Arabidopsis thaliana: one gene and its partner. The protein of the gene in region 2 interacts with the protein of the main gene of each other region in a pairwise test. Each region holds a gene or a part of one and is shown on either strand. Other genes may lie near its edges. The genes, in order: ARF11 and AGL87.

The links.
Region 1: the proteins of AGL87 (region 2) and ARF11 interact in a two-hybrid assay, tested with the Arabidopsis thaliana proteins (one large-scale study listed by BioGRID).

Annotation. Positions count from the first base shown.
Region 1 is NC_003071.7:19,103,319-19,109,058, reverse strand, and holds ARF11 (auxin response factor 11), read right to left. Parts: upstream 3,948-5,740; coding exon 3,735-3,947; intron 3,655-3,734; coding exon 3,499-3,654; intron 3,421-3,498; coding exon 3,268-3,420; intron 3,169-3,267; coding exon 3,084-3,168; intron 3,012-3,083; coding exon 2,921-3,011; intron 2,839-2,920; coding exon 2,674-2,838; intron 2,593-2,673; coding exon 2,479-2,592; intron 2,379-2,478; coding exon 2,306-2,378; intron 2,214-2,305; coding exon 2,075-2,213; intron 1,904-2,074; coding exon 1,548-1,903; intron 1,447-1,547; coding exon 1,259-1,446; intron 1,166-1,258; coding exon 1,030-1,165; 3' UTR 728-1,029; downstream 1-727. UniProt on the Arabidopsis thaliana protein: Auxin response factors (ARFs) are transcriptional factors that bind specifically to the DNA sequence 5'-TGTCTC-3' found in the auxin-responsive promoter elements (AuxREs). Could act as transcriptional activator or repressor.
Region 2 is NC_003070.9:7,980,361-7,984,932, reverse strand, and holds AGL87 (AGAMOUS-like 87), read right to left. Parts: upstream 2,820-4,572; 5' UTR 1,423-2,819; coding exon 931-1,422; 3' UTR 626-930; downstream 1-625.

The DNA of each region.
Region 1 (5,740 bases), on a different chromosome or scaffold from region 2:
TCATGCAACTGATATACTCTACTACATTGAAGAAATTCTTGTGATCTCATCAAATTATACGAATTAAAATTAAGGAATTATGAAGCTGACGTGAAAATTATCTGCCGACAAATGACTTTATTATGATTAACGATTTTAAAGAAAGCTCAAAGTGGACCCAAAACCAAAATGTAGTTTGATCAGTAAAACATTCCCACCGACACCGAGCTTATGATTTCTTCTCAAGCTTAGTGTGTTCTCGCAAGTCTTAAGATTATAATGATGATTAATTTAGTTTAGGAAAAATTATTAAAATATGATGAAAGTGGTCTTAGGTGAGGGTTTTTGCAATAATAAAAAAGTCAAAATGTTCAATAAGACGTCCATAATAATAATCAAAAAAAGGGAGGTGGGTCTTTTGTTACGCGAAACACAAGATTAAGGGAGCAGGTTCTTTTGTGAGTTGTGACAAAACAAAATAAAAAGGGAGCAGGTTAACTCCATTTGTCTTCTTACATATTAATTATTCATTTAACAAGTATATTATCATACTAATATTATTTGATCAACTTTATTAAACATGTGTATTGCATTGACACTTTTTCTTTTATAGGTCTTTTATTGGGTTAATTAGTCAACTGACTATAAATAAGAAGGTTAGAAGAAATTTTATACAGTAAAAATGTTATGGCCTCAGTATTTGGGCCTACTACTACCATGTTAATCGTCGATCTTATTAGGCCCACACAAAATCTTAACATTAGAAAAATATGACCTTTTTTAAGTTATTGCTAACACATCATTCATTAGTCATGACGACGAAAGCCACGTCGGAAAAGCAAACACTTTACATAAACGACGTCGTTTGAAACCTAATACGATATACTCGTATATAATAACTGTATATTTTATAGTCTTTATGTTAAACAAGTAAATAACAAACCCACCTAACGCCAAAAAAAAAACCAAAAAAAAAAAAACCACCTAACTCTCGGACTTGGTGAGACTTGAGAGAGTCTCCAAGAAAGTAAGAAATCAACAACTTGATAGTTAAACGTGAACTGTCCTCTGATCTGATTCAAGATTTACGATCGTACCTTTATCACCCAACAACGACTTCGACCTCATTTTCTTGACCTCATCACTCGGATATATGAATAACTTCTTTGCCATTTTACAGAACTCACTGCAACATTCAAGAGAGTTTGTCAACAAAACACAATTGTTAAGAACTCGAGAGAGAGCTTTAAGCTGAAGAAAGAGATTGAGAGAAACTTACTTCCATGGATCATCTCCTACAAGCATCCTATCTCCTTCATCGTCTGTAAACACGATAGCCCATTTGTCTTTAGGACTAAGTTCTCCTTCAATCTCAAACATTTTCTCTAGCTCTTTTATTAGTTCATCGTATGATCTCAACAATGTTAAATCAACCGCGCGTCCAACCGCTGTTCCTTGCATTTGCACCTTAAAAGGAACAAACAGAAACAAAGTGGTGAATTTGAGAAATAACAAAAATTTGTAAGTTATTGAGTTTCTCTAGTAAAAAGAGTAATGGTTTGTTTTACCTTGATTCGGCTTCTTGTGGATGTTTGTTGTTTCTGCTCTTTTGGTGAGTTTGAAGAGTTAGGATCTTGACACTTGGTGGTAGAATCAGATATATTTGAATCCACACTTATTAGCTGCTTGTCATGAGGAATTGTAGCAGAAGCAGGCTTGCTCGTGAGATCGAATCCGAATAACCTACAACTACTTGTGACCGGAGCCTCGGTTATCTTGCATTGTAATCCACTTGAAAACACTGATTTGTTTGAGTTTCTCTCGGTTGCTGGATCTTGAAACAACAGTTTGACCGATGGATTAGACTCGTGGCTCTGCGAGAAACTACTCAAGAAACTAGAAGCTACAGGACTCCCTGTGATTTCTGCAAGGCAGGACAGAAGAATGATATGATATATCATCTCTAGAGAATGATTCATTAGAGAGATAATCTTGAATCAAGTATCAGAGATCTTGCTTGCAATACATCAAACTTAGTTAACTCTTAGAACCGGTTTCAGTAATTACTAAAAGAGTTGATTGTTTTTGAAGATACCTGAGATTGGTCTGGACCGTTTGGACTTTGATTGTTGTTGAGTAGGGGTTGGTGTAAGCGCGGATGGTGAGAAAGGCTCGATCTCCCACGGTGAGACCTTGTTTGGTCTCTGTATAGAAGATGGCTCGTCCCATTGGATCTAAACATATGAAGAAGAGATTTTACAGAAAGTATGCAACAAGAATGATATGATATATATCATCTCTAGAAAATGATTCCAATTCACTAAACCTGCAATGACCTCCATTTGGAAGCTGGCCATTGAGAAGATAGATCTCCACTGCCAATAATGGTACCTGTAAATCTGAAGAAGAAACCATTCTAAAATTTCAGACAACAACATTCAAGAGAGGACTCATAAAAAAAAAATCAACAAGTGAACAAAGCAAAAAATGAGAAACTACATTCTCTCAGGAGACTCTTCTCCTTCGAATCTCATCCTATACCGCATACCGAGAGAAAACCCGTTCTTCATCGCCATCATATACTTGTTCACACTAATTATAAACTGGCTTATCCTGAACAAAAAACAGACAATGTCAAGCTTAAAGCCCTTCCACTAGCAACCTATACAAGATGGAGAAAGTTTAAAACTTAACCTTGGTTTATAGAAGACAACAAATATAGTTGTTGTGGTAACAGCATGAGAAGCTGTAGCAAGAACTCCCAAACGCATACTCTGACTCGAAATAACGGATGCGGGCATCGTGCTTTGCTGCTTAGCTAAACGCCTCACACCAACCCGTAAATCCCCGGTTTCACCCCTTAAAAACAACATGAGAAGATTACTTGTTAACCACCCCATGAAGTAAAACCCGAAAGTAAAGACACAAGATCTTTAGCTACCTCAAGAACACAAATGCATCTCCAGCTACAAGTCTTTTCGAGGTTACAAATGTACTCCAACCGGTTGTAAGTAAATGCCTCCTCGGTTGCCCTATCCAAATAAGACAAAACTTAATAGACTCTTAAAAGAAGCTTTCAGAGACTCTCTTAAAGATTCTGTTACCTCTAAATATATGCTTAAACCTCCATTCATAGCCGTGAAGATCTCTAGCTACAAGTTCTTGAGTCGGTGTAGGTTGTGTCATATCCTAAGTATTGAAAATCAAAAATCAAAACATAAAGTGACAAATTCAGCTAAGAAAGGCCCAAACTCTGTAAAATGAAGATGGAAAGATAAAAGCATTTACAAGTGAAGGTAAACACTCAGTGGCGTGTTTACGAAGAACAGAGAATCCACCATGTGTGCTTGTATCTGAAGCTGTTAGAATCTTCACAAAAGAATCAACCGTTGGTTTAGCTGGTTCTACTAAAGGTGGGTCAAGACTTGTTGGTTCACTTTGCTGCATAATAAAATACACACAAAATCTAAATCAAATTCACTGAATTTATCACATTAATTCAAGATTCTTTAAACTTACATCTTCTTCTGGTTGTAATGTGATCTGAGCGTAAACCTCATCGGTCTCATGTTCTGCTTTTAACGTAACACTAAGAACACGACAAAGTATCTTTGGAGGAAGATTAAACACTGGTATCTCTTGATCAACAACTCCTTGATTAGTCGAAGCAACCAACTGCCAAAAGACAAACATTCAAATCTTAAAACTTGAGAAAGACAAAACAAGGAATAATCTTAAGAGTTTGGATTCTTTACTTGTTCCATGTGACCTTGAGGGAAGTAGAAAACTCTTTCACCATAACGAGGAACTTCCACAAGTGGCCCTGCACAAGCTTTCCATAGCTCCGTGTACAATTCATCATCATTAGACCCTAAATTCCAACCAACAGCTATCAATTTCAACCAAAGTTGCAAAATTTGAAGCTTTATAATAGAAATTATAAGTGGCTCTAAGCTTGTTTGGCTCATGATTAGAGTTAAAAATGTTGACTTTTTCCCAAGAGAAAAAGAAAATTCAAAACTTGAGAAAATTGAAGTCAAAATTTGAACTCACCTGATGTTCTGAAATCAGCTTCCACATTCGCCATCGAAGAAACCAAAAAAAATCCAAGCTTTACAGAAGAAAACAAACACTAACAGGAAACTAAAATCGAAATCATCAAGCTCAAAGCATTATTAACCCATCAAAGAAGAAGAGTCATGAAAGAAGGGTAAGAAGAAAAGGTAAGTAAAGAGCTGAAAAACTCTCGTTTCTTTAACGACGAGACACGACGGTTATGTCTGTATTCATTACACAACATCAAAATTCATTAATACAAAGGCACTCTTTGTGATAAAGAAGAATTGATTAAAATATTTCTCTTTTTTTTTTTCCGGGTTTTCTCTTAAAGCTTTTTCAGTTTCAGTTACGAAACCGCTCCTTCTCTTCCTCCTCTCTATGCCTTTTTGTCTTCCTTCTCATCTTTCAAACTACGTGTCGTTTGTCCATTACCTCACAAACGTCTTGCTGTTTTTCCTTTCCTTTGAAGTATTTAAACAAACGTATGGTCAATTATTGTGAGAACGAATGTGGACCGTTAAAATTAAAGACAACGGTTTTGAGTAGTAGTAAATGTTATGTACTTAAGACTATAGTTAGGTCTCATCCTTCATATGTCTTATCAATTTTTTTCATTCAATAGGCAAAAATAGTTTCTTACCATAATAAGGCGTGTGAAACCAAAAAGAAATTGATGTTTATAAATTGTTCCTTGATGAGTCTCGTTAGATTTGACGATGCCGTTACTTTCTAGCTTGTGTCTGGAACGTGGCAGGCAAACGTGTTGGCTCGTGAATGTACCAGCAGAGATTTTTCCAATCCATCGAACGTTATTGTTCTAGGGCTTTGGAAAGCGTGCGAGATATTTTCTTGTTTTTCTATTTATTTTCACGTGTTAATTTAATTATAACTCAGTTTCGAGTCGATATTTGATCTTCTGTTATATCTATACTTGGGAAATTTTAACTTAAGTTATGTTGGTTAACTATATTATACACTTGACGGAAATAAATCGCTGCAAAAGGAAACTAATTTACTAAGAACTCTGAATAGTATTATTGTGTGTTTGTATCCTGATACGAATCTACATTTTACTCAAGTTGTAAATACTTCAACGCAAAAAGGTAGTTATACAGATAATTAACGTGATTTTAAAATTCGGTAAAGAGAAAACGAACAATAAAAAGTAGAGGACCGTTTGCTTCAAATTGTTGGTTGCGAATATGATCATTTCTTAAAGTGAATGGAAACGCACGGATGGGAATATAAACATTATAGTATTAGTTTTCTATTCTTAATTGCTTCATTAGTGATACACTGGAATTTTCATTTCACAATATTTTTCTATTACTTTTGTTTTAATTGTTACTTTTTGTATATAGTTAATCACTCGTTTAGTCATAAATCATAATCGCCACATCAGTAAATGAGAATAACGAATATTCGTATTGTAGATATGCATGTCTCAACTAATATAGATATCGTCATCGAATTGTTTTTTTTTTTTTGGAAGTGTGGGAGAATGATGTCATGATCGAATATACAGACTAAATAAAACGAAGAAATGTATGGTTATTGCATTGGTGTTTAATAATTAATATAGCTGCAGTAAAGAGAATCAAATGGTTGGCTTAAGTTAACAACACATTCAAGAAAAGAAGATTTGATTCCAACGGCGTATCTACTATCTTGATTACTATTGCACAAATTTATTATCTTTCTA
Region 2 (4,572 bases):
AATAATTTAAACAGAAAGGTAATTGCTTTATGACAAAAACAATTATGAAATAGTTGATAAAAAAAATTATTTACATAAAAACATTTATCCTTTCTGGCCAAACAATTAATTAAGACTGTTGCAAATTAAAATAAAATGTAATCAATAATAATTTGACAGTTACGTAGACATAAATTATAGAAATTAATTAATTTAATATGTTTGATTTATTTTAAACAAACTAAGACAGATATGTGACATTTTCAATAATTACAAATATTAATTTTGAATTTGAGTAATTTAGATTTTTAAAATTGAACGATATAATAGAGTTTAATACGGTAAATTTTTTGCATCAAAGTTGAAAACAGACATATATATCATTTGTGTATCCAATGAAAGATTAGGCTTTCAGACACATTTATGAATGATATACATGAAAATATATTATTTATTGAATTAGCTACAATCGATTGTCTATTAATTTCTGAGGTGGATAGAACATACAATAGATTGTTGAAATAGATAATTAAGCGGAAAAAAATAGATAATTAAGCGAAATAGTTTTTTCATTCATCGACTATAAGCGAGATATATGAAAAGCAGATAATCAAGATAATATGTTTTCTTTGGTAAAAATTAAGCCAAAAGATTTTATGTAACATATAGAACATTAGGCTGACTAAAAAAGATAGAAATAAAATTAAAACAACAAACATATAAGGGAGAAAATCTTCCTAAAATATAAAACAAATCTGGTCATAAACTGAAAAGATCATATTACACCATACAAAGGCCAAAGAGATTCATATCATTCTCCTAATCCTTCCTAGAGTGCAAAAGCAAATCATTGAACAGAACTTTAAACACCATCAATCGAAACCATCTTAATCTGAAAATAATTAAAAACCATGAAATAAAAATGATAAGAAGTTATTTGAAAACATCATCCTAGTCTCTCTTGATGATTGGTGCTCCTGCTTCAACAGCCTTGATTCTCTCTCTGATGGCTTTGAGCTTCTTATCAACCACATCAGCTGCTCTGGCCAGTTCCTCCGAACAATCAGTATCGGTGATTAGATCATTAGACCCAGCCATTAACCCAAGTTTCATCGCACGAGTATGCATCTTCTCCTTCTCCAACTTCTTCTCTGCGTCTTGGATCATCTTGTTCATGAGATCCTTCTGGTCCATCATGTATTTGGTCTGCTTCTCTACCGGAAGTTCGCTTAACCTGTTAAGAATAGAACGAACCTCGTTAAGGTTTGGCCAGAGCTCAGGGCCATCTTTGTATTCGCTGTAGATGATGGCACAAGCGGGTAAACCACATAGAACGGTCAGTTCATAGATCTTCTTCAATAAACCATCTTTGCGTTTTCTGAATGTAACTCGGCGAGTGGCGTTGTCAGAAATCAATTGGTGTGTAACTTTTCTTCTTCCCATGGTGAAAAAAAAAAATGAAGAAGAGAAGAGGATTTTGGGTGGTTTTAGGGACTAGATGGGTAAAATGTTATATAGAGAGTTTCTAACTTTGATTTTGGCTAGGTCCACAAAAGACGTTTCATCAAATTATAGAAAGGTATTATTTAAATATTAAAAAGCAAATTATAGAAAGGTATTTTTAAATGTAAAAAGCAAATTATAGGAAGGCTGTAACAGAAAAATACATATAAGATTTAAGGGAAAATATAGATATAAAAGCTTTCTAAATAAGAAGATTTATATCAATTTATTTTCATTTTATTAGTTGTCTTGTGTTTGTTAGTCTAATGAACCTGTAAAAAGAGGAAGGTAATATTTGCCTATTAATGTCCCTATATATGTTTTACCATATAAACAAGTTTGAACTTTTTTTTTCTTACACTAGACCAATCAGAAAGAGGATATGATGAGTTGTATATTTGTAATGTTGTAGACATGCATTTTCTTTACATAATTTTATTATACTACTGACAACAAGAAATTAATTTATCCTACATGTCAGTTAAACATTATAATTGGTAATCACAGAAGCCTATGCGTGGACAAAAAAAAAAATTGTTGAAAAACTCTGTGAGATTTAAAAATATATACAAAAGGCAATATGTAATAAAAGTTATGTAATTATCAATAAGAGTATCTCTAATTTTGTCTTTTTACATTTAATTACATTGTATTAAATATTTTCTTCCATTATTAGTCATAATAGTCTCATTACATTACTGATTTTAACTTTTCTAGTGTTAGGCCTTTATGATTATGATTTTTAAATTTGACTGACGTATGTAATTTCTGATGGTAAAAATAGTTATTCTTAATAGAGTTAATGAGTTATAGTATATACACATGTAGGAGGTGTGCATATATGTAAATATTTACAAATTACAACACATCATATTCTCTTCTATTTGGTCTATTGTAAAAAAAAGGGTCAAACTCTCTAATATGGTAGAACATATATGGGAACAGTAATAGGCAAAATATTTAGTTACATAGTTATTAACTCATTGGCTGTTGTGATTACTAATTGTAAAGTACTCGATTGGTATAGTTATATACACACTGATTCACTTCACACATACGAGGTGTGTGTGTGTAATATTGTATACTATTAAGTAATTATGTAAAAGCTAAATATGTAAGAATAATGATCGAAGCTTAGTTAATGAATTTTATCTAATATTTGAAATTATAATTCAACTACTTTCCTCAAAGTTTTCTAGTGAAAACTTATTCAAAAAAAAAAAAGAAACCACTAATTCAGCAAGAGAGAATAAACAATGAATGGGTAGACCAAACAATTGAAATTCCGTGGACATATATGTAATGTAATAGGCTAATAGTTAGATTAATGAACTTACCGTCTCACGGAAGGACTCCTTAAAGATCTGCAAGCCACTCTGACCGATTTGGTAGATTCGTTCGTTTTACTGTCGTCAACAATGAAAAAAATATAAAACAAACGTTAGATATCTAAAAATTAAGGGTTACTTTCAACAACAACAACAAATTTTGAAGAGTTAGACAGTAATTTTTTGTGTGGCTATTGATAGAGTCTCATCGCCAACACTCATGTTGAACTATTAGAAACAATACATACAAACATCGTTTCGGTGCCATTGTCATCGTCGATGTCGCTCTAAGAAACAGATCTAAAACTTTTAGAGAAGATATGGATATGTGGTGAAATGAGATGAATGGTGGATAATCTTATATTTATTTTAAAATTGGGCGGAAAAAACTATATTTTCGTAACTCTTTTTTAAGTAAGCAATATTTAGTTTTTTTTTTCTTTCTATTTTGTGACGCGTGTTATAAACTATTAAATATGAAATTAATTTTACATTTAAGATTCTGTAAAATGAGGAGATATGCATATATGGTGAAATTGAAATGTATGGTATATAATTTATTTATTTGTTTGTTTAGCAATTGAGCAAAAACTATTCTTGTAACGCTTTTTCATGTTTGACATGTTGATTTTTGTTTTTTGTGACACGATTTGTAATATAATGATATAATTATTAGCTTTTTAATATTTTTTAAAATGATGAAATTTACTTTGTCACACCTAAAATTGATAAAATTTTGTATTTTTTTAGAAATCTAATGTTAAATTATATTAAAAAAAAATGCAAACGTTTATACATCGAAATGCAAACTTTTCTTAAAACCGAATCAAAATATGGTTCAATCTATCTATCCTTGACTTTGTTGTGACGCAAACCACACTTAAAGTCCTCCAATGTATTTTTCTTCCCCTTTCATTGTTATGGTGCTCAAGCGGTTTCTCATATTTCTATCAATCAGCTTGACAAATTTCTCTTTTCTTGATGGTTTTTCTCCGTGTCTTCTATCATTCCTTTCACGCCAAATAGAGTGTATCGTGTTTTGGAACACATACCTTAGTATAAACCTTTTCGTTGTGTCTCGGTTTTTGTTCGCAAGCTCCCTCATGATATCCCGCCATTTTTCAGTGAACTTGTTTGCTAGGATCCCCCGTGCCAGCTCCTCCCACACCTTTCTCGAATACGGACATTGGAAGAACAAGTGCTCTCTTGTCTCCAAAGGATCTTGGCATAAGACACAGCTTTGATCTGCATTTTGGTTTCATTGAAACATCCTTTCCCCTGTTGCTAACCTGTTTTTCATCATTAACCAAGTGACAAACCCATACTTTGGTGTAGCGTACTTGCAAAATTTCGTACTTGCAAAAGAAGTTTCTACGAACTTAATGATGACGGAAAAAAATACATATGAAACACTCTACATAAACTAGTATTAAAATTCTTTATCTGCATGGTTGTTCCTTAAGATAGTTAGAGATCATTTTTGGGAAGTAAATAAATTTCCACTAAAACTTAAGACATTATTTGAAACACCGGTACACCGGTATAGTGCCTTCTAAAGAACATTCAATGTTCAAGACTTCCAAGTCATAATATTTTTTGTTTGACTTTAAAAGAGAGGAATCCATGTAAATATAATTTATTCGATGTTTGTTTGTATCTTTTCGTGAGCTTAAAGATATTACATATCTCGATCCTTTCAATATTGTTAGGTCATGATGCCATTTATCGATCTTCCGCATGTCACGCCGTTCAGTCTAGGCGT